Arabidopsis thaliana: one gene and its partners. The protein of the gene in region 1 interacts with the protein of each later gene in a pairwise test. Each region holds a gene or a part of one and is shown in the gene's direction. Other genes may lie near its edges.

Region 1 (3,649 bases):
CATACCTCTCCAGAAGGAATTCTGGTGTTTTGTCGTACAAGTGCACCAGCAGCAACCATCCCATGCTTTTCAACAACGACCCCATCAAGAAGTGTCGCACCCATCCCAATAAAGGTCTCATCCTCAACAGTACATCCATGTAAAACAGCACTATGACCTGTTACACATTTAATTTAAGACTATATCCCAAATGCTTCTTGGAGATGTATGCATATTAAACATTTTCAAAATAAACAGTGAGTAAGAGATTCCCACTAACCAATGGTTACATTGTCTCCAATTATGGTTGGGTGCACCTTCCCGCTTAAGTTTGATTTTGCCACATGCACAAGTGAGTTGTCCTGAATATTAGTTCCTGACCCAACACTTACGGTGTTCACATCGCCTGCGCAGAAAAAAAGAGAGAAAGCAAGTTTAGATTGTATGTTATCCCAGTTTCCTGGTAAAGTACTAACAGGCTTAGCCATACAGTACCAATGTGTTATGACATGAAAGCATTCTGTAAAAAGGACAACCCTATTTCATCACCATTAAATAAAAATCCAGACTAGCCAACTCATACTCGCAATAAGGATTCAACTCAAACTCAATAATCTGTATATGATATCGTTCAACTAATTCTGGTGTTATGACATGAAAGCATTCTGTATATGATTGGGGATATCATATACCCAATCACCCATTAGAGCAACTGCCAGTATCATCAAGATACGATATGTAGTAATGATCTGTTTAAGATCCTTCAATAAAGCTAGAAAGCTCCATTTTGAGTAGTAGTCTTGTTCATCGCTTAACCAGAAGAGTAAAAAACAGATATTCGTTCACTATTTTCTATCGTAAGAGTTGACACAGCTAAGGATACAGAAGTAGATACTATTTCAAACAAAACTTCAGTCACTAAAATAGTCAACCACCAAACACCAAACATTGAGGCTTAGTAGCTAGCTCACCTCGTAATACGCATCCATACCAAATGGACGATCCTCTTCCAATGTGAACGTCCCCAATAACTGAGGCGCTTGGTGCCACAAAAGCTTCCTTGTCCACAATCGGAGCCTTATCAAATACATTCATCAGTGTCCGATGCCTTGACACTACACAGAGAAAACCACAATTACATATAAGCAAATTTCGTGACCAGGAAACAAAAAAAAAACTAAGCAGCAAAACACATTCCACATCAATTAATCCCTTGTGCCATTCGAATCCAGAATCGCTATACCTACAAAGACATCAATTCCAGATCTCTAACCTAACCAGAATAGGTGAGCTGAATTACCCAATCGAAACTCCTCACTCTTTACGAATTCGAAATCGGAGTGAAAAATAGAGTTACGCAGAATCTTACGTTGTTCTCGGAAGTAATTTTTGCCTTGAAGGCGACAACCGAGGCGATCAAGAGCTTGACCAGTCTCACGGATCCAAAAACCGACCGAGTAAAATGCTCTGCCTAGGGTTCCCATTGATCGTCACTTTCTTCGAGCTCACAGGTAAACGAGGACTCAACACTGAATGAAGAAGACGAAAATGGTCGAAGCTGAAGAAGAGACGGAAGAAAAAAAATCAGCGAAAATGGATTTCAACAGGAACATTCCGGGACGGCGAAACAATAAATTACAGTTACAGTGGTTTAATATGGTTTAATCGAACCAAAACAATACGAAATATGAACCAAATCTAATTCGATATTTCAGGTAGTAGTTTCATTAAACCGATTATATTATTCGGTACGAATTTATTACTATATTTTCACTAAATTGAACGGTCCAAAACCTGCCGACCAAAAATCAAATGGCCCTATCAGTAACAATGTCGTTTCGTATCGTCGTCACTTGCAACGCATAACACGTGAGAAAAGATAAACATCGGGTAAAAATGGCCCACTGGTGGGTGGAGAATGGTAATAATTCAGTTTAAAAGCTAAGCCTTCTCACTGATTAACTCAATCATTCATCCGTCTCTGCAAACAAAGGAAGAAGAATCAAGATGGCTCTGGAAATCTGTGTGAAAGCTGCTGTTGGTGCTCCTGATCATCTCGGCGACTGTAACCATCTTCTCTTTCTCTCTCTGTTTTTGTTTTGCATTAAGCTTTTGATTTTGCAATTCTTAATTTCTGAGCTTTGATCGTTGGTAAATTTACTAATTTAAGTGTTTGTTTGTCGTTTTAGGTCCGTTCAGCCAACGGGCTCTTCTCACACTCGAGGAGAAGAGTCTTACCTACAAAATCCATCTGATTAACCTCTCTGACAAACCCCAGTGGTCAGTTTCTCTCACGCCTAAACCCTTAAGATCGGTCTAGTTTGAACTTGTTTAGCCATAATCTCTGAAATTTTACTTGTAACTGGTACGAGCTTTGTGTTAACCGGAAATTGGATTGGCTTCATGTGCGAGCATTGTGTTAACCGGAACTTGAAATTGGTGGCTTTGGTTTTATATATGATGCAGGTTCTTGGACATTAGTCCTCAAGGGAAAGTACCAGTGCTTAAGATCGACGACAAGTGGGTGACTGATTCCGACGTCATCGTTGGTATACTCGAGGAGAAGTATCCTGATCCACCACTCAAGACTCCTGCTGAATTTGCCTCTGTTGGATCCAACATTTTTGGTACTTTTGGGACATTCTTGAAGAGCAAAGACTCCAATGACGGATCTGAACATGCCTTGCTTGTTGAGCTAGAAGCTTTGGAAAACCATCTTAAGAGTCACGATGGCCCTTTTATCGCCGGAGAAAGAGTTTCCGCAGTGGATCTAAGCTTAGCACCAAAGCTTTACCACCTTCAAGTTGCTCTTGGCCATTTCAAAAGCTGGTCTGTCCCTGAGAGCTTTCCCCATGTCCATAACTACATGAAGACTCTGTTCTCGCTCGACTCTTTTGAGAAAACTAAGACCGAGGAAAAGTATGTGATCTCTGGATGGGCTCCCAAGGTTAACCCTTGAAACTATGCACCGTTATGAGATCGTTGGTGTGGTAATGTTGTTCAAGGTCTCTCTCTTATATCAGTCAAATAATGTACTTGGACCTTTTTATGTAATGTACTGTATCAATCAAATAAGAAGCCTATTTTGAAATAAGATTTGCCTCCATATCGAAACTCGGATAAACACTGGCTACACGTAACATAAGGGACAAGGGTTTTTTCAGACAAATTATTTAAGAAACTCATCGACAGTACTTGTGTACTTGACCTCAGGATAAAGCTCAGAAGTCTTAACTCCAAAAGAAGGATCTATAGTCAAGGAGGTAAAGTCGCTCTTCGCAAGGACCGTATGGATCAAACCCACAAAAAAATCCATTGGAGGCTGGGTCTCTGCAAATGCAAGTGACTCGTTTAATACTTTGGAGTTTGGACTGATGAATATTGGATATCAGAAACTGTTTTTATGGTTTAACTGATCACCTTTGATGGTTTTGAGGAGTTCTTCCTCAGAAACATAAGTCTTGTCGAGACTCGAGAGTCTTACCGATCTTTACATCCCACAAATCAACCATATCGTTCTGCGATACAATGTTCTTGGGCGGGTGAATGTAGGGTTGGGTGAGATTTTCCAAGAATGTTCCTGGGAGAAGGCAGTTATAGTCGCACCGTCAGCAGTCGTAAGGTAATCGGATTTTATTGTGGATGACCAGCGATTTTCATGATTTGCATC
Region 2 (5,540 bases), on another chromosome or scaffold:
ATGGAGAAAGTGAAGAAGATGATTAACTCTCACTATGAGGAGCATTTGAAAGAGAAGTTTTACCAGTCAGAGATGGTCAAGGCTTTGAGTGAAGGCAAAACCTCAGATGCAGATTGGGAAAGCAGTTTCTTCATCTCACATAAACCAACTTCAAATATCTGTCAGATCCCAAACATTTCAGAGGAACTCAGGTAAAGTAATTAAGAATTGAATAGTACCAAAGGCTCTACCATTTTTACCTGTTTGCTTATTTAACTAAACAATGTGAGAGGGTGAAATTGATATTTGCAGCAAGACGATGGATGAATATGTTTGTCAACTGCACAAGTTTGCAGAGAGACTCTCCAAGCTCATGTGTGAGAATCTTGGTCTTGATCAGGAAGACATAATGAATGCCTTTTCTGGTCCAAAAGGTCCAGCTTTTGGAACAAAAGTGGCTAAATACCCAGAATGCCCACGTCCTGAGCTTATGAGAGGGCTGAGAGAACATACGGATGCTGGGGGAATCATATTACTCCTGCAGGATGATCAAGTGCCTGGTCTTGAGTTCTTTAAAGATGGGAAGTGGGTTCCTATACCGCCATCCAAGAACAATACCATTTTTGTCAATACCGGTGATCAACTAGAGATACTGAGTAATGGGAGGTACAAGAGTGTTGTTCACCGTGTAATGACAGTGAAGCATGGAAGTAGACTGTCGATTGCTACGTTTTACAATCCGGCTGGTGATGCCATAATATCTCCAGCTCCAAAGCTCTTGTATCCAAGTGGCTACCGTTTTCAAGACTACCTAAAGCTTTATTCAACTACCAAGTTTGGAGACAAAGGCCCCAGACTTGAGACCATGAAGAAAATGGGAAATGCGGATTCAGCCTAGGATGCATCTGGAATTTGACGCTTCTGTACTCACATCATAAAAACTTTGTCTTCTTCTTGTGTTTCCTTATAATTTAAATAACCAGCCATGTCAGAATCTTGCTGATTCAGCTATACTACTTCACTCTTCTTTCTTCACTTCCACTTGAAAAGTTCCAAAGCCAAACTGAAGCAGTCTCATCAAGCTCTGTGTCGAACTTGAGATTAGACAAAGAGCTTGTAATCTAAGCTCTAAGATTGACAGTCAATTTCATGATTTATAAGATGTAATTCAACTCTTAACGTAATCCACAACTCCGCCATCATCTCTTTCCATATTCTCTCTGATTTGACTCATTTCCTTCCCAATTCCTAGAATCAAACAAATAGCATTTCTATATCAGCATCTAAAACTGAAAGCTAAGTGTGTATTGACTCAAAATTCTTCTCCAATCGCAATAAAATCGAGATGAGAAAAATTCATCCATATGTTTTGGTTCACACATTCTATCGAGCAGCTTGTGTGCAATCCCAATCCTCTGAACCAAAACAAAAGCTTATCTCTTGACCATTACCCGACATTTCACTCATCAGCCAACGACAAATCCTGCTCCGAAACCTCTAATGCTTGGAAAAGAAGAAAATTCCGATTTCCGAACAATGGAACTTACTCCATTTTGCATTCTCTGTCGAAAGTAACATACGTTCAATGCAAATGACCCAAAGTCGTCGGTGCCACGTGGATAGTTCTCACTGGTTGATGCATTCGGTAACTCGCAGAATGGAAGAATATTAACACAAAAGGCATCTCGCGTATCCACGTGTCCCGTTCAAGATTCCAAATTCTAAACCAAAAGCCGGTCCGACCAGATTAACAAGTTCTCTTTATTACATCACAACCCAAAACTTGTTCAAAACCTAACTTTTCATTGCTAAACATATTTTATTCTGACATTCACATGTTAACTTTAATCCAATATCTAATTCTTTTTTCTTAAAACCACCGTTGTCGAAAAATCCAAATCAGCAAAATCAGTGATTAACCGGACCGGACCAAACCGAACATCGTTTTCTGTAAATAGCAGTAACTGGTTTCACACATCCCATCATCTCTAACCACCGACCTCATAAGTCATTAAGACAAAAACAGAGACACTCCTCTCACTCTCATTATTTCATTTTCTTTCCATAAAAAGCACGAATCTTCAAGAACAAAGAGAGAGAGAGAGAGAAAATTTAATGGCGTTAGCGAATAACTTAACGGCGATACTCAACTTACTAGCGTTACTCTGTTCCATACCAATAACGGCGTCAGGTATATGGCTAGCTTCAAAGCCAGACAACGAGTGTGTCAATCTCCTCCGTTGGCCCGTTGTCGTCCTCGGCGTTCTCATCCTCGTCGTCTCCGCCACAGGCTTCATCGGCGCCTACAAGTAAGAATCAAAGAACTTCAAGACTTTGAAAACATAGACACAAATTGAATCATAAAGATGTAAACTTTGAGCTCTCATATTTCAGGTACAAGGAAACTCTACTGGCGGTTTACTTGTGCTGTATGGCGATATTGATCGGACTTTTGCTGGTGGTTCTTATATTTGCATTCGTCGTGACCCGGCCCGATGGATCGTATCGGGTTCCGGGTAGAGGTTATAAAGAGTATAGGCTTGAAGGGTTCTCGAATTGGCTTAAGGAGAACGTTGTGGATTCCAAGAACTGGGGAAGGCTAAGGGCTTGTTTGGCTGATACTAATGTTTGTCCTAAACTCAACCAAGAATTCATCACCGCCGATCAGTTCTTCTCCTCCTCTAAGATCACTCCTCTCCAGGCATGTTCTTTCTTCTTTTATTCTCTTTTATAAAAAGAACCCCGAAATTTCTAGTTTCCGGTTTAGGTTTGGTTTAGAGGTAAATCTAGACTAAATATCGGTTATGCAACTATGCCAACGAATCATTGTGGGTTTAATTAGATATTATTAGATGATTAATGGAGATAAGATACGAAGTAAAGAGAATGTTTTGTAAAATCTCTAGATTATGTGAGACCTACGGTTTGTTCTTGCCATAGAAAGATAGGTTATTTTTTCTTTCAAAAAGTAAAGTATGTGGTTTTAAATCAAAAAGTTAAAAAATTTCTCTTTAGCTTTTGTGAAGATGTCCAAAAGAGAATTGTTCTTATTCTCTATATTCTTTTTTTTTGTTTTGCAGCTTTAAGTTATTTCGTTTTGGATTTCCTCATCTTTGAAAAAACTAAAAAAATATTTTCTGACTTAATTAATCTTATGTTTTCTAGTGTTGGAGAGAAACCTACATTAGCTTTCTTAACGTTTCGCAGTTAGTGCCATTTTGTGGTAAAACTCATAGATTAGGCATATGTAATCACCATTATTGAACACATATTTATTCCTAGTAGACTGGTGTAGAAGTTGCTGGAGACCAAGTCCACAAGATTATATAGTAAGATAGTCAGATTTCAAAATTATACACTATCATAAGGACCCACCCATGCACCCACAATATGGTACATGATAAACTATGTTTTATCTGTGTATTAATTATATTTTTCCTTTGTCACTATCTCACTCATAAAATTCAATGATCCCATTCACTTTAGATAGTGTTTTTCGTGATCACAACTCAAACTTGACAAAATTTCCTACTTTTTCTATTTAATTTTATTAATTAAAATCACTCTTAAAATTCATTGTCATGTCTTTTATGTCTTTTAAGCTTTAAACATGGAGAGATTAAGGGTGATTTAAATAATTTTATTCCTAAAACTTCTATAGCAAGTTGTCATCCTAGTCCATTGTCACTGTAACAAGATTGGAACCACTAATAATTAAATAAGCCTAGATGCTGAGGTCTCGACTGAATTTTAAATCTTTTAGTCATTAGACATTATTAAATATTGGACCAATGATTTGATTCAATAATTACGATCACAAGTCTTTGTCTCCATCATGAAACATAATAGATAATTATATCCCTCCCATGTTGCCCCACTCACATTATAATTTTTCTTATTGGATAAATTAGGACTCAAGAAAAAATAAGTTTATTTCTAAGAAAGAGTTATACAATTTCTCGTCCTCGAGACAGAACCAAAATTTACTCATAAGTAAAAGAAGATTATTCTGTGATAAGATTCAACATGTTTTTTCATTTTTTTTATGTACTTTCATACCAAGCAAGCAATTTTTTAGGTTTCTTGTAGTCGTTTTATTTTTATAGCTTTCAGACTAAAACTAGTGTTTCATTGTTTTAGGTCTTGACTCTTGAACTCTTGATTGTTTGTGTTTGCCTTTAGTATATACTTTTTTTTTCTCCACATGAACCCATAATATTAACCATGTTAAGCAAAATGAAATTTTTGTTGTAAACACAAAGGGCAGACGCAAATGGTAGCGTTTGTGTTTACAATGTGTAAATATTTTTTACCAATAAAAAAAAAGTGTAAATATCTTTAAGACTATGATTATCATATTTGAAAACATGGTTAAGCATATATTTGGTCAAATCTAATTATGACAATTTCTTGAACATTTGTTGTTTTACAGTCCGGCTGCTGCAAACCACCAACCGCATGTGGCTACAACTTTGTGAACCCAACACTGTGGCTAAATCCAACCAATATGGCTGCAGACGCAGACTGTTACTTATGGAGCAATGACCAAAGCCAGCTTTGTTACAATTGCAACTCATGCAAAGCTGGTTTATTGGGAAACCTTAGAAAAGAATGGCGTAAAGCAAATCTCATACTTATCATCACAGTCGTTGTTCTCATATGGGTTTATGTTATTGCTTGTAGCGCGTTTAGGAATGCTCAGACTGAGGATCTCTTCCGCAAATACAAACAAGGTTGGGTCTAAAATGTGTTTGTGTCTATAAATTTGTTTGTAGTTTGTTGAGATTGGAGTTTTCGGAAATAGCTCGTCATATTATGATTTCTTTGTGTGTGGAAAAGGTTTTTTTCTTTTTATGGATTTTGTTTCTATGTTTATCAGTTTATGTTCGACAAAATGGCACTTATCTATGTAAACAAACAACTGACCCTAATTGGAAAACTGATTGTTGTCATAGAGTTTTCTCAGTTTCTTCTATTAAGAAAAACTTAACCGTTGGTTAAAACGTAATTATCAACAAAGACTTCTCTTTTGGTCTGTGACGTTGATTCCAACGATAAGAACAAAACCTAATCTTTGTTTTCTTTTGTCAACAATAGTACTATCACCTTTGTTCTTAACTATTTTTTTGGGAACTTAAAATTGACAACACCGGAATTAAAATGTTTAATACTATCAAAATTATATGAAACTAAGCTGTCTTTTAGCTATAGTTTAATTCATTTCTGACCTCTAAAATAATATTATCCGGAGATTATTGTAGTTTCGTAACGTGGTTGATGAAACTACTAGGTGTTTTCTTAATTAGACCACGATTTTAACATTACGTTACACTAATACTCTATTGCATTTTTGGTAGTTTTCATAACAATGATTCCATGCGGCTTAGTCAAACCGAAATCATATTATTTGTAAATTCAATTCTGATATAATTTTTCTATTTTGTACCAAACGTAAACCGAAACATAACCGAAACCGAACCAAAACTTCATTTGCGTAATGTAGTTTCCTACGTTGTTGTATCTATAAATAGTTTGTTTGTCCAGCATCCATTTCATAATTC
Region 3 (4,711 bases), on another chromosome or scaffold:
GAATCTCACCATGACACATGAGACTTATCGAGGTATGATCAAAGAGATAGCAGATAAAGTGAACATAACAGTAGATGGGTTTCAATCCATGTCAGAAAAACTCACGGAGAAACAGGGGAGATACGAGAAAACTGTAATGGAGGCATCAAAAATACTGTGGACTGCGACGAATTGGGTGATAGAGAGAAATCACGAGAAGGAGAAGATGAATAAAGAGATAGAGAAGAAAGATGAAGAAATAAAAAAGCTTGGAGGAAAAGTAAGAGAAGATGAAAAAGAGAAGGAGATGATGAAAGAGACTTTGATGGGACTTGGAGAAGAGAAAAGAGAAGCGATAAGGCAATTATGTGTTTGGATCGATCACCATAGAAGTCGTTGTGAATATCTTGAGGAGGTTTTGTCTAAGACCGTTGTGGCTCGAGGCCAAAGAAGAGTGTCGCAGCGAACTTAAGGACTCAGTGCCATGGTACGTTGTTTATCTTTCCCAAGCCTAGTTTCCACCTCACATGAATGCAAACAATGAAACAACATATATGTGTTTATTAGGTTTTGGACTCTGGTCAATCAAGAAGCTGGTGGAGAGGTATTTTTGGTTGGGGACTTTTGGTGTACTTGTGTTCGATTTTGTTGCACTTTTATATGTTTGTTAACTTTTGTTGTATTTTGTAAGTCAAAATTTTTGGTTTATTGTGGGCAAAGTTGGTGGTGGTTTTTATGGGAGGTCAGGGAATAAAGGGGCTCACACAAATGGAGTTGATATTTTTTTTTCTTTGGGCGTCGGATTGTATAGAACGATTAAATGCTACTGTTGGTATAGTGCTTTTGCTTGTTTGGAATTTGTTATAGTATCATCTTTGCTCTTTCATAACAAAATTATACACATCGCTTTACAGAGTTTCGTTCTCTCATTCATTTCTTATTTTATTGGGTTTTTTTTTTTTGCATTAGCAGTCGTTATATCTCGCCTTGAATTTCTAATGTGAACTAGTTTGAAATGTTTGAAATGTTTATTCTTTAATAGCAACCACTTTTTTTTCAAGTGTTTTTCACAACCGAAAAAGTCAGCCATGTGAATGATACACAAAATAAGTCAGCCAGTAAGGTTTGGTGATGTTAGATCAATCAAATATTTGAGAAAAAATTCCATAACTAGTTGATATTTCCTAAATCGAAGTTAATTGAAAATTAAGTACAATTTGGCAATATCTTAAATTATTAAATTTTAAATAGAAACTCTATTCACTTTTATGAGTTTATGGAAACACACTACTTTCTCCTCTAAAATCAGACAGTGATTATACTTTGACCTTAAAATTTGAAAAGAGTCTAACACGTTATAATTCCCAATTACTTTATTATCTGATTAATTCACCAAGATACATTAAATCTAAAATTATGTGATAGATATTCATATAAATCATATTGGATTATTCCAACAAAAAAAAAACTCTTAAAATTTGTTTCCTTATTTACAAACAATACATTACTGAAAATTTCTAAATAAAATATCAAAAAGTAATTTCAAAACCTTGTTTTGTCAATTTAATATTTTTATTTTTACAAAAAAAAATCTGAAACATGCAAAGAAGCACAAGTAAAGTACAAGTGGAAATGTATGAAAATAGGAATCATAAAACTAATTTTTTAATTTAATGATAGGAATCTGAAAAAAGCAAAATTTTATCACATCCCGAATAAAGAGGAAAATGCAAAATATGTCTCCTTTTCTCACTATGACAGGTTGTTTCTTTAAAGAAGCAACGGAATTTAACATTATAGCAAACATTAACTATCACCAGCTATCATGCGCCCACCTCTCCACCGTGCTCTCCATCATCATCATTCCATATATAAATCATTCACTTGTAGAATCTTCTTCTCTTTCACACTAAAATTCATCGATGACGGATCCTCCCAGACCCGACCCGTTTCCTGTTACCCGACTCGATTCCGACGCCGGTGCTCTCTTCGTCCTCCAATCAAAAGGTTAAACCCATATATTTATGATATCAATCTCCAATTTTGGAATTTTAACTGATTTGAGAATTAATTCTCAGGCGAGTGGTGGCACGCCGGATTTCATCTAACGACGGCGATTGTTGGTCCGACGATATTGACATTACCATATGCGTTTAGAGGATTAGGATGGTGGTTAGGGTTTGTTTGTTTAACGACGATGGGACTCGTTACTTTCTACGCTTATTACCTCATGTCTAAGGTTCTTGATCACTGTGAAAAATCCGGCCGCCGTCACATCCGTTTCCGGGAACTCGCCGCCGATGTTCTTGGTATCATTCAAAATCTCTTCTTTGTATTTATTAATTTGCTTTTTTTGGATAAATCCGTAAAGGTTGGATCGTGTTTCGATTTGGATACTTTGACTTCTTGTTAGATTCGCCATCATCACACGTGTCTTAGTTTACCGTACCGGTCTAGGTTAGGCCTGTGTATTTCGGTTTATAGATCGGTTTACGTCATAAAGTCTGGTCTTTCCGGTTATTGAGTTTTGGGTTTAAGGGCCGATTTCGAATTTTGAGCCGGTTATTGTGATGTGGTGCAGGATCTGGATTGATGTTTTATGTAGTGATCTTTATTCAAACAGCTATCAACACTGGAATTGGTATTGGCGCCATTCTACTTGCAGGTCAATGTCTTGATGTAAGAAAGAAACCTAAATTTTGATTACTTGTTAAACAAGGTACTATAAGAACCGTACGGATCATCCTCTGTTTTTGTGTTACTACACAGATAATGTATTCGAGTCTTTTCCCGCAAGGAACGTTGAAGCTTTACGAGTTCATTGCTATGGTGACTGTTGTGATGATGGTTCTCTCACAGCTTCCAAGTTTTCACTCTCTTAGACACATTAACTGTGCGTCTCTGCTTCTCAGCTTAGGATATACTTTCCTCGTCGTTGGGGCTTGTATCAACCTAGGTATAATGATTCTTACGTTAGCGAAGAAACAACAACTTACTAATGTTCGAAAATTTAGATTCATTGCCCAGTTTTGGTTCTACAGGTTTGTCGAAAAACGCTCCTAAACGTGAGTATTCTCTAGAGCATTCGGATTCAGGGAAAGTTTTTAGTGCCTTCACATCAATTTCGATCATAGCTGCTATTTTCGGAAATGGAATCTTACCCGAAATACAGGTGAGAAATGTTTGCAATTTATTCAATACAAACATTGTATGTTATGTGTTTGAGATTTATGAGATGATTATATGTATGCAGGCAACTCTTGCTCCACCAGCCACAGGGAAGATGTTGAAAGGACTATTGTTGTGTTATAGTGTGATCTTCTTCACGTTTTACTCTGCTGCAATTTCGGGATATTGGGTTTTTGGTAACAATTCGAGCTCTAATATCCTCAAGAACTTAATGCCTGATGAAGGACCGACTCTGGCTCCTATCGTGGTGATTGGCTTAGCTGTCATCTTTGTCCTTCTTCAGCTTTTCGCCATTGGCCTTGTAAGTTTATAACTAGTGTGATCGTTATTCGATGTTACTTGGCTGTGAGACGAGTGACTAAATGTTTCTTTTTTTTGGTAACTGGTTAGGTGTATTCTCAAGTTGCGTATGAAATAATGGAGAAGAAATCAGCGGATACAACAAAAGGGATATTCTCAAAACGCAACCTTGTGCCGCGTTTGATACTAAGAACACTATATATGGCGTTTTGCGGGTTCATGGCAGCGATGCTACCGTTCTTTGGGGATATAAACGCGGTGGTAGGAGCGTTTGGGTTTATCCCACTCGATTTCGTGCTGCCAATGCTTCTATACAACATGACCTATAAGCCAACCAGACGGAGCTTCACGTATTGGATAAACATGACGATAATGGTTGTGTTCACTTGTGCAGGACTCATGGGAGCTTTCTCCTCCATTAGGAAACTTGTTCTTGATGCTAATAAGTTCAAGTTGTTTAGCAGTGAAGTTGTTGATTAGATGGTTTTGATAGTGTGATAAAAACATAAACAATACTTGTTTTGTGGTTACACTTGTACATGAATTTCTCGAGTTGATTCATTATCACACAAAATGCAAAACCAAACTAGTTACAAAATGCAAAACCAGACAAGGATTATCACACTTACGTCAATTGTTCTTGAGATGAATATGTTTTTTTTGTTAAATGATTTTCTATTTAAATACAAAGTTCCTTTGGGTATAAACACTAAACAGATTACTGGGTTCAGTAAACTCTCTCAGAGTGTGTTAATTTTCAGTATTCGTAGCTGATTGGTTCGGTTTCGGACCGATTGGATATCCACCAATCCGAAATAATACATTACATATTATTAATTTTATGCTCAATTCGGATCGTGTAATTCAGAATTTCATATTTGATATAGTAAATTTCAAATAATTTTGATAATTCTGATCGGATAATTCGGATATTTTGGATTTCATCGGATAATTCAAATCCAAATAAGAATTAAAACCATACATATTTTGGTTTCGAATACACTTGGGATTCTAAAATATCAATAAAAACCGATTTAAGTCTAAAAAAATTAGAATCATAAAATTGTTTGGATTCTAATCGGATTCTATCAGACCTAATCTAATCTGATCCGATCCAAAATTCGAATGCCCAGACTATCACATACTATGGTCATGGATTTCGGAGCGGATACTCCAATCTCATTTGCATTTTGTCTTCTTCTTCTTTTTTTTTTTAATTATTAAAAATTACCTTAAGAATCTA

The links. Proteins that work in one complex are often made in the same cells at the same time.
Region 2: the proteins of DHAR1 (region 1) and TET2 interact in a protein complementation assay, tested with the Arabidopsis thaliana proteins (one large-scale study listed by BioGRID).
Region 3: the proteins of DHAR1 (region 1) and AT5G41800 interact in a protein complementation assay, tested with the Arabidopsis thaliana proteins (one large-scale study listed by BioGRID).

What each region holds. Positions count from the first base shown.
Region 1 is NC_003070.9:6,772,751-6,776,399, reverse strand, and holds DHAR1 (dehydroascorbate reductase), read left to right. Parts: upstream 1-1,876; 5' UTR 1,877-1,986; coding exon 1,987-2,044; intron 2,045-2,168; coding exon 2,169-2,259; intron 2,260-2,445; coding exon 2,446-2,938; 3' UTR 2,939-3,098; downstream 3,099-3,649. Other genes in the region: GAMMA CA1 (gamma carbonic anhydrase 1), read right to left, coding at 6-157, 260-385, 951-1,094, 1,349-1,463; AT1G19565 (uncharacterized protein), read left to right, coding at 3,269-3,321, 3,430-3,521. UniProt on the Arabidopsis thaliana protein: Displays a dual function. As a soluble protein, exhibits glutathione-dependent thiol transferase and dehydroascorbate (DHA) reductase activities. Key component of the ascorbate recycling system.
Region 2 is NC_003071.7:8,471,576-8,477,115, reverse strand, and holds TET2 (tetraspanin2), read left to right. Parts: upstream 1-1,962; 5' UTR 1,963-2,094; coding exon 2,095-2,288; intron 2,289-2,373; coding exon 2,374-2,680; exon of another isoform or gene 2,681-3,511; intron 3,512-4,411; coding exon 4,412-4,723; 3' UTR 4,724-4,982; downstream 4,983-5,540. Other genes in the region: ACO1 (ACC oxidase 1), read left to right, coding at 1-191, 292-877. UniProt on the Arabidopsis thaliana protein: May be involved in the regulation of cell differentiation.
Region 3 is NC_003076.8:16,731,941-16,736,651, forward strand, and holds AT5G41800 (Transmembrane amino acid transporter family protein), read left to right. Parts: upstream 1-1,722; 5' UTR 1,723-1,901; coding exon 1,902-1,986; intron 1,987-2,057; coding exon 2,058-2,288; intron 2,289-2,560; coding exon 2,561-2,658; intron 2,659-2,748; coding exon 2,749-2,935; intron 2,936-3,020; coding exon 3,021-3,151; intron 3,152-3,232; coding exon 3,233-3,469; intron 3,470-3,558; coding exon 3,559-3,948; 3' UTR 3,949-4,153; downstream 4,154-4,711. Other genes in the region: CIP1 (COP1-interactive protein 1), read left to right, coding at 1-451.